Tribolium castaneum: one gene and its partner. The protein of the gene in region 1 interacts with the protein of each later gene in a pairwise test. Links are inferred from orthologs where the notes say so. Each region holds a gene or a part of one and is shown on either strand. Other genes may lie near its edges.

What was found. The genes of interacting proteins can lie anywhere in the genome.
Region 2: the proteins of Prim2 (region 1) and RhoGAP68F interact in a two-hybrid assay, tested with the Drosophila melanogaster proteins (2 studies listed by BioGRID). The link is inferred for Tribolium castaneum from reciprocal best matches to the Drosophila melanogaster genes Prim2 and RhoGAP68F.

The regions. Positions count from the first base shown.
Region 1 is NC_087395.1:23,553,228-23,559,912, reverse strand, and holds Prim2 (DNA primase large subunit), read right to left. Parts: upstream 4,316-6,685; 5' UTR 4,083-4,315; coding exon 3,366-4,082; intron 2,659-3,365; coding exon 2,142-2,658; intron 2,089-2,141; coding exon 1,919-2,088; 3' UTR 1,798-1,918; downstream 1-1,797. Other genes in the region: ras-related protein M-Ras, read left to right, coding at 1,070-1,162; RRP12-like protein, read left to right, coding at 4,592-5,362, 5,870-6,112, 6,166-6,395, 6,447-6,685. UniProt on the Drosophila melanogaster protein: Regulatory subunit of the DNA primase complex and component of the DNA polymerase alpha complex (also known as the alpha DNA polymerase-primase complex) which play an essential role in the initiation of DNA synthesis.
Region 2 is NC_087394.1:22,483,965-22,490,657, reverse strand, and holds the start of RhoGAP68F (rho GTPase-activating protein 1), read right to left. Parts: upstream 4,252-6,693; 5' UTR 4,010-4,251; coding exon 3,967-4,009; intron 3,916-3,966; coding exon 3,793-3,915; intron 3,747-3,792; coding exon 3,458-3,746; intron 3,405-3,457; coding exon 3,087-3,404; intron 1-3,086. UniProt on the Drosophila melanogaster protein: Functions as a GTPase-activating protein (GAP) for RhoA/Rho1 during gastrulation by converting it to an inactive GDP-bound state.

The DNA.
Region 1 (6,685 bases):
TTAAACACGTTTTAGATCAAAAATCAAGTTTTTTTCCTTTTTTTATTAAACTAGAACGAAAAAATCACCAAATTTGGTCGGAAATGACCAAAAATTTACCTTTTCTAAGCGTTTATTCAGTGAAAACTCAATTATTGCGCAAAATTTCTTAAAAAGTAAAGCAGAATTATGTCAAAAATAAGATTATTTTTGCAGGTTCTGAGGATTTAAACACGTTTTAAGAACAAAAATTAAGTTTTTTTTAAGTTTTCCCCTATTTTTATTAAATTAGAACGAAAAATCACCAAATTTGGTCGGAAATGACAACAATCCATCGATATTTTTTCATTTTAAAAACGTATTCTAGAAAGATATAGCGAAACTTGCAAAGGTGACACACATAATCGTTATTGAAAGACTTAACATTAATTGGCTATATAAATTATTTAGAAAGAATAAAATAAAACAGTTTTAATAATTTTTTACAAAGGGTTTTATCGTTCTTTATTTTGTAAGAGGCATCTTTTTAATTTTTTAAAAGCGGGAAGTAATATAGAATTTTTATGTATGCACCGGTTTCAAAAGTAAAAAAAATAATTAAATAGTTTTAAATGTAGTTTTCTAAGCTGGTGCTTTTAATTTCATTTCATAATTTTTAGTTTTTTCGGTACAAATATGTGCAATATATTCCATTTTTACCAAAACTTATTATTTAAAAAAATTAGCAAATTGGAAAAAGACTACAAGTTCGATTATTTTGCATTTTTTTCACTTCCTTGCTAAAAATTGTAGAATCTTAAGCACACTTGTACGTATTTACATATTGCATCTTTTTATGACTCCTGCTTTCACATTTATTATCTTCTCAACGTTTACAAAAACTATTACCGGTACGGAATTTGTCCCAGTTTCTACAACTTCTTTTATTTTTAATTATTTTATTTTGTTTTGTTTTTAATGTTCACAATTTCGTTCATGTTCCTGGTATTCTTTATTTACTTAAATTTTGTGTTCCTCACTGTTCTGTACTTATAAAAGTGTAGATTTAAAAAAAATGTGCCAACACCATAAATTTCGGTGTTGTTTCCAGGTTGTGCGCATTATAAGGAATCAGCCGCAGCCCGACCACGAGAAGCAAAAGCGGCGGAAGCTCAGCAAGCTTGGAAAATGTATTATTATTTAATTTGCTTTTCTCTATGTTAACAGGCCTATTAATTGTATCCTATAGCTTTAAAGTCAAGTGTTCAATGTTACGTGTCATAGATTATTGTATTCTCTGTATGATGAGTCCAAGGCAAACTACATCATGTTTCAAGAGGACCAAAAACTGCTCATTTTGCTTAAAATTGGCTCCCGATGGTACGAAAAACACGGCACTAATTTATTTCAGACCTTCAAAACGACATTGTGATATTTTCGATTTTTATACATATGTTTAGAGGGATGAAAACAGTAGTCTTGTTGACTTGTATTATAACCCGCTCATGTTTTATTTGATAACCGATTTAGCTATTTTTTAATACTAGGCGTTAATCTAGAGTTTCAGCACGGGCTTCAAGTATTAGCCAAAGAAACGTACAGTTGTTAGGTCAAACAATTGAATGACTCAGTTTTATTTACCAAAGTTATTTTAGTAGAGATAGCTTAAACTCTAGATTACAATATGTTTTTGACACTTTATTACGAATGTAATCTTTTGTGTACGATGTGTTAATAAAATTTATTTGAATGGAATTTTTGGGCCATTGAAGTCACGAAACACAATTATTATTCTCCAAAATATTTATTTAACTATAAAATACAACGTGAAAGCATGTATCAACAATTAAAGTCTTTGGGACTTTATTAAAACCAAATTAAAAAAACGGATGCAATTTAGACTGAAGGGTAAATATAAAATAAATTATTAAAAAATAACGTTTAATTGTAGTAACAGATATTATTTCTTATTGCCTGAAGCTCCTTTTTCAATATTCATGCTCTCTTCAAAATACTGATTAGGGTGATTAATTCCATTTCCCAGCGCTTTTCCGTGAGTGTATTCGAAATATTTTCCACAAGCTAGTTGATAATGACCATCAGAAACAAGCTGCTTGATTTCATTAGCACCTGTAATAGGTACAAAAAGTACTTCATTTAAATAAAAAAGTAAGCCAACTTACCATCAACGCTCACACCACATTCGATAACTTTCTGCTTAACAAGATTAACATCCCAGTGCTTAAACGGACAGCCATGGTGCTCCCCAGGCCCCACACTACTCGTAATAATTTTAACACAACTGTAGGGCGAATAACTGGCCCTTTTCCCCACCAACCCATACATGTGTTTGATATTGTAAACGTAACCCTTCTCAAACTGATTCAAATCCATTTTTTTCGTGAACTCATCCCTCCAAAATTTGAGCGCATCTTCGTACAAAAGCCCGATAGCTTTCAAGAAAAGACCGTAAGTTAGACGGCCTTGGTGTTTATGGTGGTGTTCAGACCGCAAAACCTCATGCATGTGTTTCATGCAGAGAGGGAAGTGTTTTTTAGCATATGTGTCCAGATCTGCTGGATCGACACTTTCGTGGTTTTCACGGACTCGGTAATTTTGGCCCGTGTGCAAATTGTGGAAATTGGACAAAAGGGGCCCAATACGCTCGTCGTCGAAAAGGTGGATGCGGTGGCTGTACCACTGAAAGTTTCGAATTGGAGTTATTTTAGAGCACGACGAGCGTAGCGAGCGAGTGCCTTCAATAGTTGAGAACATAAGCGCCCATTTCGTTTTACAATAAAATATAAAAAAATCATCTTACGTAAAATAGAATATAAGAAAAAATTTGGTTATTAATTTTGGTTCCACAAGCTTTATAACACTTGTCTAAATATGATTTTTTTCTAAAATAGCAGGAATTAAATGTTTAAACATCAAAATCACAAATTGTTAAACGGTCAAGGTGGCGTGTGTCGAAATAAAAATCGTAGTCACGCGTGCTGTGAAAATTTCATAGGTAACTACCAATTGTTGCTGAAATTTACAAAGCACTCTTGACCACGTTTTTATTGGGGTGCTCAGTTTTAAAACGAAATAGTAAGTCCATAAAAATAAATAAAATATGCAGTCGATCTCAAACCATACATCACAGTATTTTTAAATTAAACTGCTGGATTTCAAACCTGTCAGAGTGCAAATGTTAAACGTTTTAAAAAAAAAATTCCGTTTGATGTTTTATTGTTATTGTAGAAAAAATAGGTTTCAGTTAATAATAAATTTTCGGTACTTATAACAAAATTCTTATAGCATTTATAGCAGAATATTTTTAAGATACGTTTATAATTTCTCTGAAAATGACTAAAATTGGGCTTATTTCGTTATATATGTTTTTATATAACTAGACTTACAGTTAGCTCTTCGCTTAATTCAGCCCTGAACTTCGACTGGATGCAGACCACCAGCTCGCTGGACGGAATATAGGCAAACCCAGCCTTAAGAAACACTTTCCGGCCCCTCACCAACGAGCAAACTTCAGTAAAAGGCACTTTAAAAAATTCAGTCTCCTCGAACAGAATCAACCCCGCAGTTGACGCCTCCAGTTCATGCCTTAGCGAAACCTTCTCCTCCTCCGAAATAGGAGTATATGAGAATTTATAAATTCGTAAAAAATTCTTGACCCCCTCGCGCGACTGAGCCGTGAAACGAATCCAAAACCACTCGAGTTCCCTGCTCAAAAACCACCGTCGCAATTGCTCCGAGCGGCAATACGCCAGCCGGAGGATAAAGTGTGAGAGGTAATCGGCCTTGCGGGCTTGGTAATCCAAGTCGCTCGTGCCACTGGTGCCCCCCATCAAGCGCACGTATTTTTTCAACCCTGCCTTGGCCAAGTCGTCCTTAATGCACGTCTTCCACTGGTCGCTGTACAACCGGTTGCCTTTGGGGGCCGCTTGCTCGATAATTCGCAGCAATTTGAGCCGGTCCAGGGCGATTTGCTCGAATTCCAGGATGGAAATCTCGCTTTTGGGGCTTTCGCGGTACATGCTCACGTCGTGGGGGTACAGCTCGGAGAGGGGCTCCTCGGCGGTGGCTTTTCGCACCGTGCGGCGATACGACGTGAAATCCATGGCGAAAATTCACAATTTACAGTGTTTAGTTAAAACTTAACTCACTTAACCTCACATTTAAATGGTATCCCGCCAAAAACTGGCACCAATATCTGGGGACTAGCTAAAATCACTGCCCGGTTTTTGGGGGCAAAACCAACGCTCAGATATTTTCCAGGTGTGGCGTTCCACCCCGTGTGGCATTTGAAACAATCAAAAAGGAATAATGAGTCGAAATATTGGGCCAAATTAATTTAATTTGAACTTTCTTGTAATTTTTTTATTTCACGGTTGGTGAAAGTGAAACCCACCACGTGTGGCAAAGTTAAATGTCAACTATCAAGTTTAAATAAGTTTTTTTTTGTGTAAATATCAACATTATCTAAAACCAATTGCTGTTAATAAGTGGAAAAACGTAAGTTTTTTCTGCTTTTTGTCAATACAATGCGTAGATTTGCACCAGTCGATAAAAAACGGCACGTGTCGTTAAGTGAGGTTATGTTTTTTTGATCTGTTTTCCTTTAGCAAAAATGGGGAAGTTCCGGTCCAAGCTGAAGGGCCAGGCCAAGGGCAAGCGGTGGCCGAAGGGCCAGAGCTCGAGCTCGAACCCCGAGACGCACAAGTACCGTGATTTGGCCAAATCGCGTTTCTTTCAAGAAAATCTGGGCTCGAGCGGTTTAACGTCTGAGGCTTTGCGCAAACACGATGCAGTTCAGGCCTTCAAGCCGCGGCCGGACCCAGAGCCCATGGGCGTGGACGAGGATGTGGAGTCGTCAGTTGGCACCTACTCCTCGTACAAAACCATGGAATCGTTTGCGTCCGAATGGTCGAGTTACAGCAACATGTCGTTCACCCGCTTTTTGAAAGTCTTCCGGGCCGATTCCGCCCTGCATAAGGAGATGCTGGCGATGCTTGCGGCGATTAGCGAGGTGATTAGGGAAAACGGGGGCTCTGAGACGGCCACTGAATATTATTGTTCGCTGATAACTGCACTTGAACGTGTGTATGAGGGGGAGGAGCGCAGTGAGGAGCAGTTGACGGCGGCGTTGGCTTTGCTGAATATGGGGATCAAGACGGTGCCAGAGCCGGTTTTACGCCGGACTTTTAGCGATTTATCGGCGAAAGTTTTGCACATTCTTAATGATTACGTCGATTCTGATAATAATACGATCGTTAAGTCGATTTTTGGGATTTTGGGGACGCTTCTGAGGAAACAGGAATTGATTGTTTGGACTAACGAAGCAACGGTTAAGATTTTTACCTCGATGTTGAACCCCTTTTGTCTTCATACGAAACCAAAAGTGAGGCACACCTGAGGTGGATTAAGTGGACTGGGGTCCAAAAATATATTTCTACTACGTTTCAAAAATTAATCTCACAGATTTTTTTTTATTTTAATTACTTAATTAGTTAATTAAAATAAAAAATATTTTTGGCAATTAAATGGCAGCACGTTTAATTGAATTAAGTTGCCATTTACTTGAAAATGGTCGACAAACTTTAACGGGACTTTTTCAACATTCGAGCATCGTTAATTTTTTTCATCCTCTCCATAATAATTTATTAATTTTAATTATATAAAGAATTGTCGATAAATAAAAAAAATCATGCTTAGGAAAAAAGTTATCCAATCGTAAACCCTGGTTTTTTGTGTCGTTATTTGTTTTTGAAATACAGCAAAAATATATATAATATATAATAAAAAAATAAAAATATATAATAATACAATTTTAATAAAAAACAGGTTCGCAGGCCCTTAATCCACCTCTGAAAAATCGTAAAAACTGTCCCTAATTTGTGATTTTTAGTGGCGTAAAGCAGCCCAACAAGCTGTAATTTTAGTCGTAAAATCTGACTATTTCACCTCAACTAACACGAATATTGCGGCTGATAAAATCGCCGAATTTTGCGAGCAAACTTTAGACACTTGTATGGGAGGTAATTCGGGCGCTATTTTAGTTTCTTCAATACAGGCAGGTCAGACGACCATTTTACACACTCTGGGGTTGTTGAAAGACACAATTTGTAGTTTTTCAAAGTCGCACATGAAGGTACAGTTGTTTTTTTAGCTGCGACGATAATACGATTTTTTTTTTTTTTTTAGAAATGTTGCGAGATTATTTTAAGATTGATGACTCTAAACTACCCAATCGTCACGTCATGTGGCCTACAGGTGCTCCATGCGCTTTTTTCGGCCCAAACGGCTGTGGTTCCCCCAAAATTGAACGCCCAGTTAATTTCAGCGTTGTACGAATACCAGCCGGCTGCAGGTGATGTCCAGCCGACTTTAGCCTGGTTGGCTGTGATGCAGCAAGCGCATGTGCATTTGGCCGAGTCGGTGTTTCCCCCAACTTTTTATTTTTTTTTATTTTAAATTTTTTCTAGTGTTGATTTGGCCGCATCGTGTGCAGCGTTACCGAAAATTTTCGCAACAATAAGTCAGTTGTGGCTGTCGGAAAAAAGCGAAATTATGACTGCAGCCACTCATGCCTTGGAAAATTTACTCAAAGATGCTGTTGGTCCAGCTTGTGCTATTAAAGAACAAGTGGAACAGTTTAGCTCGAAAATTAACAAGTGTTTCAGTTGTGTTGAAGCTGGTCTTGGGTACCAGTACCATAGTGTGT
Region 2 (6,693 bases), on another chromosome or scaffold:
ACTATAAAAGCACCAGCGTCCCATTTTGTCTTAAAATTAGCTGTTATAAATTATTCATGCTCTTTAAAAAAATAATAGCTAATGTAATTTATCCTAAAAAAAGCGATTCTTTAATTATATTTTGGGCAAAAAATACTTAAAGACGATAGTGACTACGCATCACAAGCATTAGAAACCAGTTACGTTATAAGCTTCTTATTACTCAATTTCGTATTGGTTGGATTAACATATTGCTAAGAGTAAAAGGTTCCAACAACGTACAGTATAAACACAAAAAAAGTTATGCGCAAACTTAATATTGTTGCTAACCCCACAGTTAAGTTTATTCGATTATTTAATTCATATTTAATTTAATTTTTGCACTAAACATTTAAGCATTGTTTGTTGTAGAATGACACGGAAATAATAATTTAAATAATTTTAATTAGAAGAAATTTTAGAAATATTTTGAAAACATTCACATACAAAAAAAGAAAAGAACAAAGTGTACTGACAAAATTCATATTTTTGTTATGGGTCATTTCTCAAAAAATTCTCGAATAGGATGATTTTATTTTTCGTTTTCGATGTTATGCCATAACAATATGTATGACGTCATTGGTTATTGAGTACCCCTAATTTTCTTAAACAACCGACATTTTTGTTTAATGTTTTTGATAACACATTTCTTTATCGTTTTGTAGTAAAACTCAGAAAAAAAATATTTTTTAGCGGTTATTCAAAGATGAGATTTAACTGGTGTTAGTTCCATATTTGTTCCTATAGTACTACAGAAAACATCTTACAATAGCTAATACAGTGTGAATCAGAAATACGTGTGTTAATTTTAACACGTAATAAAACGTAAAAAATTGTTCAAATTGTCCGTTTCTATCACAACCAAAATAGTTCGGCTCTTTTAATTTTGTACCCATAGGCAAGTACACATTTCAGTATCTTATTTTTTCCAAATTTTAAGTAAATTTCCGAATTTTTTATTAAAAAATTAGAAACAAAAAAGATGTTTTTTTCGTTGAGCTCTGTTAACTGTTTAAATTAAAACACGTATTTCTGATACACCCTGTATACTGCTTCCACAGAGTGCCTTTCTCACAGCCCCTTTATGAGAGCATCAAAAGAACAAGGCAGCAGGGCGAATATCAAAAAAATTTTACAAAATTCGCATCTTGAAAACTTTTTCGTTATCGAATTTTTACAACAAAAATAAATGAAAAAATAAAAAAATATTTCGCAGACACAAATGTAATTAATATTCTATGTACAAGGCATTTTTTCATTTTCGCATACGTAAATGGATATGAAAATAATAGAAAAATAAATTCCGCGCCATCTGTCGATTTAGAAACACACTAAAACGACTTCCCCTTTAGCCTTAAACTGTTCCCCTGTCATTTAAGGTTCAACTAAACTGGGCTCACCGTTCAGGCGGCCGTGCGCATGCACTAATTTGAAACTCAATTTTTAATAAAAATAATATAAAAAATCGTTTTTTTTACAATTGGATGATGTTCCTATATTCACTTATTACTTCACAGATCAGTTCTTATCTCGATTTATATATTTATAACCAAGTCATAACAGGGTAAACAGTGTAATAACCTTAATGCTTTTATGGAAAAACCTACAGTTCAAATGGCATAAAAAAATATAGTATTACAAGTACGTCATATATAAGACCTATATAAAAAATTACCAATAAACATAGTACCCTTTTTTTAATAAAAAACCAAAACGGCTTAAAAATGTTTTTTTTTCATTTTATTTTCAATTTTTTTCAAATTTATGTACAGGGTGCTCAAAAACTGGCGCACCAACTTAGTGGTACGTTATTGAGAAGCAAGTGCAGATTACGGTAAAAAAGTTGAAAAAATCCTTAGTCATATTTTAAAAAATCTGGAGCTACAAACTTATTGTATTAATTTCTTTAATTTTCATTATTTTTCAATGTTTTTATGTTTCACAGTAGGTAATCGTTCCCTAACAAAACGATGAATGATTATTTTTAAATTTTCTATCAGACTTCAGCGGTTTTCTAATTTAAAAAAAAATAAAATTCATCAAAAAAATCACAATGTGTAGATGTGCCAACACTGGGAATTATTTCCTAGGAAACCTTTTGAAAAATAATTTATTTTTATTGTTGATCAAATTCTATTGCGATCACGACTGTTAGACAACGTTGCCACATATCATTTATCTAAAATTCATTATTTATCAATAACTTTAATACAAAGAATTTTTTTTACTATTTTTACCTTTATATGTAACCAGTTCTCTATCACACACCATTGAGTTGGTGCGCCAGTTTTTGAGCAGGCTGTACATTGTTGTTAAGGTCCTCAGAAAGTCACCATATTTTGTTCAAGCAATTTGAACTTACATTTTTTTAACAGAACAAAAAATTAAATCGTCTTTTTAACGCGTTTAAACTCTGTTACAAATACTTAAAATGAGATACAAATTCACCTGTGAGGTAGTGACTGAATTTAGGAACAACATACAATTGTAAAGAAAGTATTTTGTTTATTACTTTTCTTAAAAATCCAATTTCAAATTTTGCGTTCACGCGCTTGCTTGAACAGCTCCTCTTCGGACGTTCTAAGTATAGTTCAACTTTAACTACTGATAAAAATGAAACCAATTCGTTTGAGTGGTGTCGAGAGTCTTTGGGGGCGTTAACTGTTAAAGATGAGGATATGGTCTCTGGCTTTTTTGAAAATTTTATTACCTACAACTTTCACCGTATTCGCAGCGTTCTGAAAAACACGGAGCGCAAGTTCTATTTTTTTTCTTATGTTTGTGGTGTGAAAGTCGCTACTTTTTCTCAGCTTATTAAGAATTTGCCTTTTTTCGAAACAATTAACAAACTAATTGAATTTAAATTAATTTAAAACAATTTGGAATCAAGATAAAATTTTTGGGTTCAGAAAATCGAGTTGCTTTGTACTTCATTTCGCGTCCTAATTGGCTCAACAAAGATGAACCGTTAGAAAAAACTGAGACAGCCTAAACGCGCCACTCAATTGTAATTCTGAATGCCGTTTCGCCTCCTAGTTTCAGTCCTCCACAAATTTAAGAATAATTACTCAATCACTTCCTCCGGAATGTCCAACTTTTCCAGCGATATGTGCTCATTCAACTCTTTCAAAGTGTTTATATAATTGATTTTCTTCCCAAATTTGGCGCTAATTAAGGGTCTGAAGATTTGCGAGACGAACTTTAGGAAGCCAGTTGGATGGACTAAGTACAAAGCTTTCAAATTCTTTTTATATTTCCTATCGAAAGCCTTATAGGCTTGCACAAGCCACCTGAGGGAGGGTTTATTCTTGCTTGAGAGGCCATAATGGAAGTACACTAAGCTATAATCCTGTTCCACATACTGATCTAAAGTGTGGGTAAGATAACTGAAATTGCACAATTGTAAATATGACGCGCTGTAGGCCGTTAATGCAATTACTTTAAAAATAGACTGTGATTGATCTCGGCGATGGGCGGCAGCCTATGGGCGTACACAACGATGATTTTTCTCCCCGCGGAATCGTCTCCTTTCACATCCACGATTTTATGTTTATCAATTTCGGAAAACTTACGTGTGGGGGAGTCGTCGACTTCGGGGTAGGAAGGGGAGTACACTAAGCTGTCCAAGTTCTCCTCGCTGGGGTCGGCCAACTCGTCCTCAAAGTTGTCGTCGGTGAAGTCGGGAATGGGCGAGTTAATGCCGTTTGATTCCATTTGAATCAACTCGGCTGCAGCTGAGTCAGACACGAATGTTTGTTTATTGCAAAACCTCACCTGTTTGGACAACAATATCAGGGCTCTGATGCAACTCGCTATCGTCGAATTCGAGATTAGGTTCGTAGTCGTGGTAATCGGATAGGCTTGGGTAGGGCTCCTCATTGTTATCTGCGAGATTACCTAAAATGCGCCTCAAGTGGCCTCAAACTTATCTTTTGATGTTTTACGCACCTGAAAAGTTTCGCGTTGGACTGAGCTTGTTGTTGGTATTCATCTTAAATGCAAATTAAGTCATTTCAAAAGGAAATTTTCGTTTTTATTAGCACACCCACTTTCCCGGTAAAAAAACAAACACCGAATTACACAAAATAAAAACACAAAAAAAGACTAGAAGTTGGGGAAGCGACTCCCAATTGTAAAAACGTAAATGTTAGTAAGTAAACATGTAAATTACGATAAATTACTTTTTTGACGTCTTCCGACAATTTGACAATCAACATAACCTGCGCGCTGAATCCAACAAACGCCAATTATTTGAAAGTTACCACGTATCATAAGAGCTAAAATTTGCAGTGGCAAAAAGATAACGACAGATATTTCATATGATAAAATTAGTCCCAAATTTAGAATTCTGAGTTATATTCAATTTGGTAGAAAATTTAGTACTGAAAATACATTTCACTGAAAAAAAGCAATTTATTTCACCGTAAATGATAAAATACAATTTTTTCTAATGTTTTCTTTATGGTGAAATGAAATTTTATCGTCTATGAAATATGGTTCACAACTGTTTCTGATATTTTGTGTTAATTGTTGAGTTTAAAATCTGTTGAAAAAACAGTAATTCAATCGACATATTGGAGGATGAAATAAAATGTTGTATTGTATACACGACGATTATGCAATTTACTATTATTTTTTCAAGCGTTTTAGTCCGGGAGTAAAACCGCCTTTGAAACTTTTTCATTTTGTACCTACAGGATGATTAAAAAATGTCGGACAAAGTCTTGTATGGTGGTACTGATGAAAAACTTTCAGTTAAGCACAAACATGAAGTCAGATTTTTTTAAACAACTTGTTTTTAATATATTAGTACTTTTGGTTGCATCGTAGGGCATGTCAGAACTAACCCACTATTAACTCACCCTGTATATCTGATCAAAAAATGCTCAAACAATTTTTTGTTAAAGGAACTAGGAACAATGGAACCCGAGAGATTGCTCAGTACTTTTGAATAACCTGTATAATAAATTAATAAATAACAATTATCGGATCTTTTTCCAAATCGCACTTCAGTAGAATTTTTATTTACATTACGGAGGACTATAACTTAGGAGACAAAACAAAAAAAACTAATTTAAATACAATTAATTCACTAATTACTTGGAAAAAATGCAGAAATGTTCAGCTTTGTACTCTTAACAGACTGAGAAAAAAAGATACAAGAAAAGTGTTATGAAGAAATTTGTAGAGAATTAAATTTACTTTAATAAAGTCCGCTGAGATCATATATTGGGTTTAGACCCCAAAGACGCTGAGGGGACGGATTCGCTTTATTTTATTTGTGGTCAAGTAACAAAGTTAATTTTTTCCTGCAAAAACTTATGTGGTAATACAAGTGCGCTTTCTGTAGACATTAACGAAATTTTCTAGGACGGGAATGTTCTATTTGTACACCATTTGTTACCTTAACCTTTAGGTATCCGTAATTCATATCAACTTTGATTTATATAGTTTATAGTGCTTTACAAGTTTTGTTTATTTTTAAATTATTTTATTCAATTTTGACATTATAAAGTGTCATTATTGATTCCATAGTAACACGCATAAGTAGTGATTTATTCACTAGTGATTTAAAAATTATTCCACTATTGATTTAAATGACTTTAATGAATACCAACAAATACTTTTATTTAAAATAAATGTTACAATTACTGAGGCTACTGAAATGTACACCATATCTATCATTAATAGGCCCATTTATATTTTGATTTGACACTGATGTTGATGACGCGGAAGTACGTGCTTCCGAATTTGAGGTGGATTCCTTCTGAATGAAGGAATGAAGAATGGTTTATGATTTTCCTTGAAATTTCAATTTTATTATTAAGGGAATCTTCTATATATCCTTCCACAACGCTATTTGAACGCCATCCTCCGTATCTCTTTACCACTGCTAAATCGGCTCAAGAGTCTGCCAGTAAAGTTGCACTTGAACGTCTAAAGCTATGTCCGGTATATTCTTCTGGATTTGGAAGACAAAGAAATCGTACAATTTTTTCGGGAAATTTTGAAATAGTATTTATCCCAACTGGTTGCACTGTGCATTTCTGTTTACGGTAATTGATAAACAACCGTTTGTGTAAAATACTCTCGGGTCGTAGTTTTCTGTACTTGCAAAAAACGTCAGTGGAAGGAATAGAGTTACTTCCATTGATGATAGTAAATGTTCTTGGCTTATAAGTCTTCGTGTCAGGAATATTGACCACAATTACGTTGCCTCGATCATCGACGTCATCAACTGACATGGCAACTAATTCTCCAATTCTACAGCCTCCAAAAACTCCCACAATTAGAACCACTTTTTGCAGCAAATATTCATCATCTGAAGCAGTGACTAAAAACTTTTCCATTTCTTCGAAGCTGAAGACTTTAGATTTCTTTGGTCTGTGCCCTACAGAGTGTTGCTTTAAGAAAGCAGATACCTGATGAAATCTACAACAATTATTTATTAGTTCAAAACTTATTATAAACAATATAATCCTCACAAACCTGCTTATATCGATATTTTCTTTAACAGATAACATTTTCTTCAGTTGGTAATAATACGCCCACAATGACGAAGATTTTGCATTTATGGATCGTTCAGAAATATAAGCCAAAATTATTCTCTCGTCTACTCCCTTTGCATCCTTCCGCTTCCTCCATTCCCAAAAATTTGAATACTCTTTCGTATAA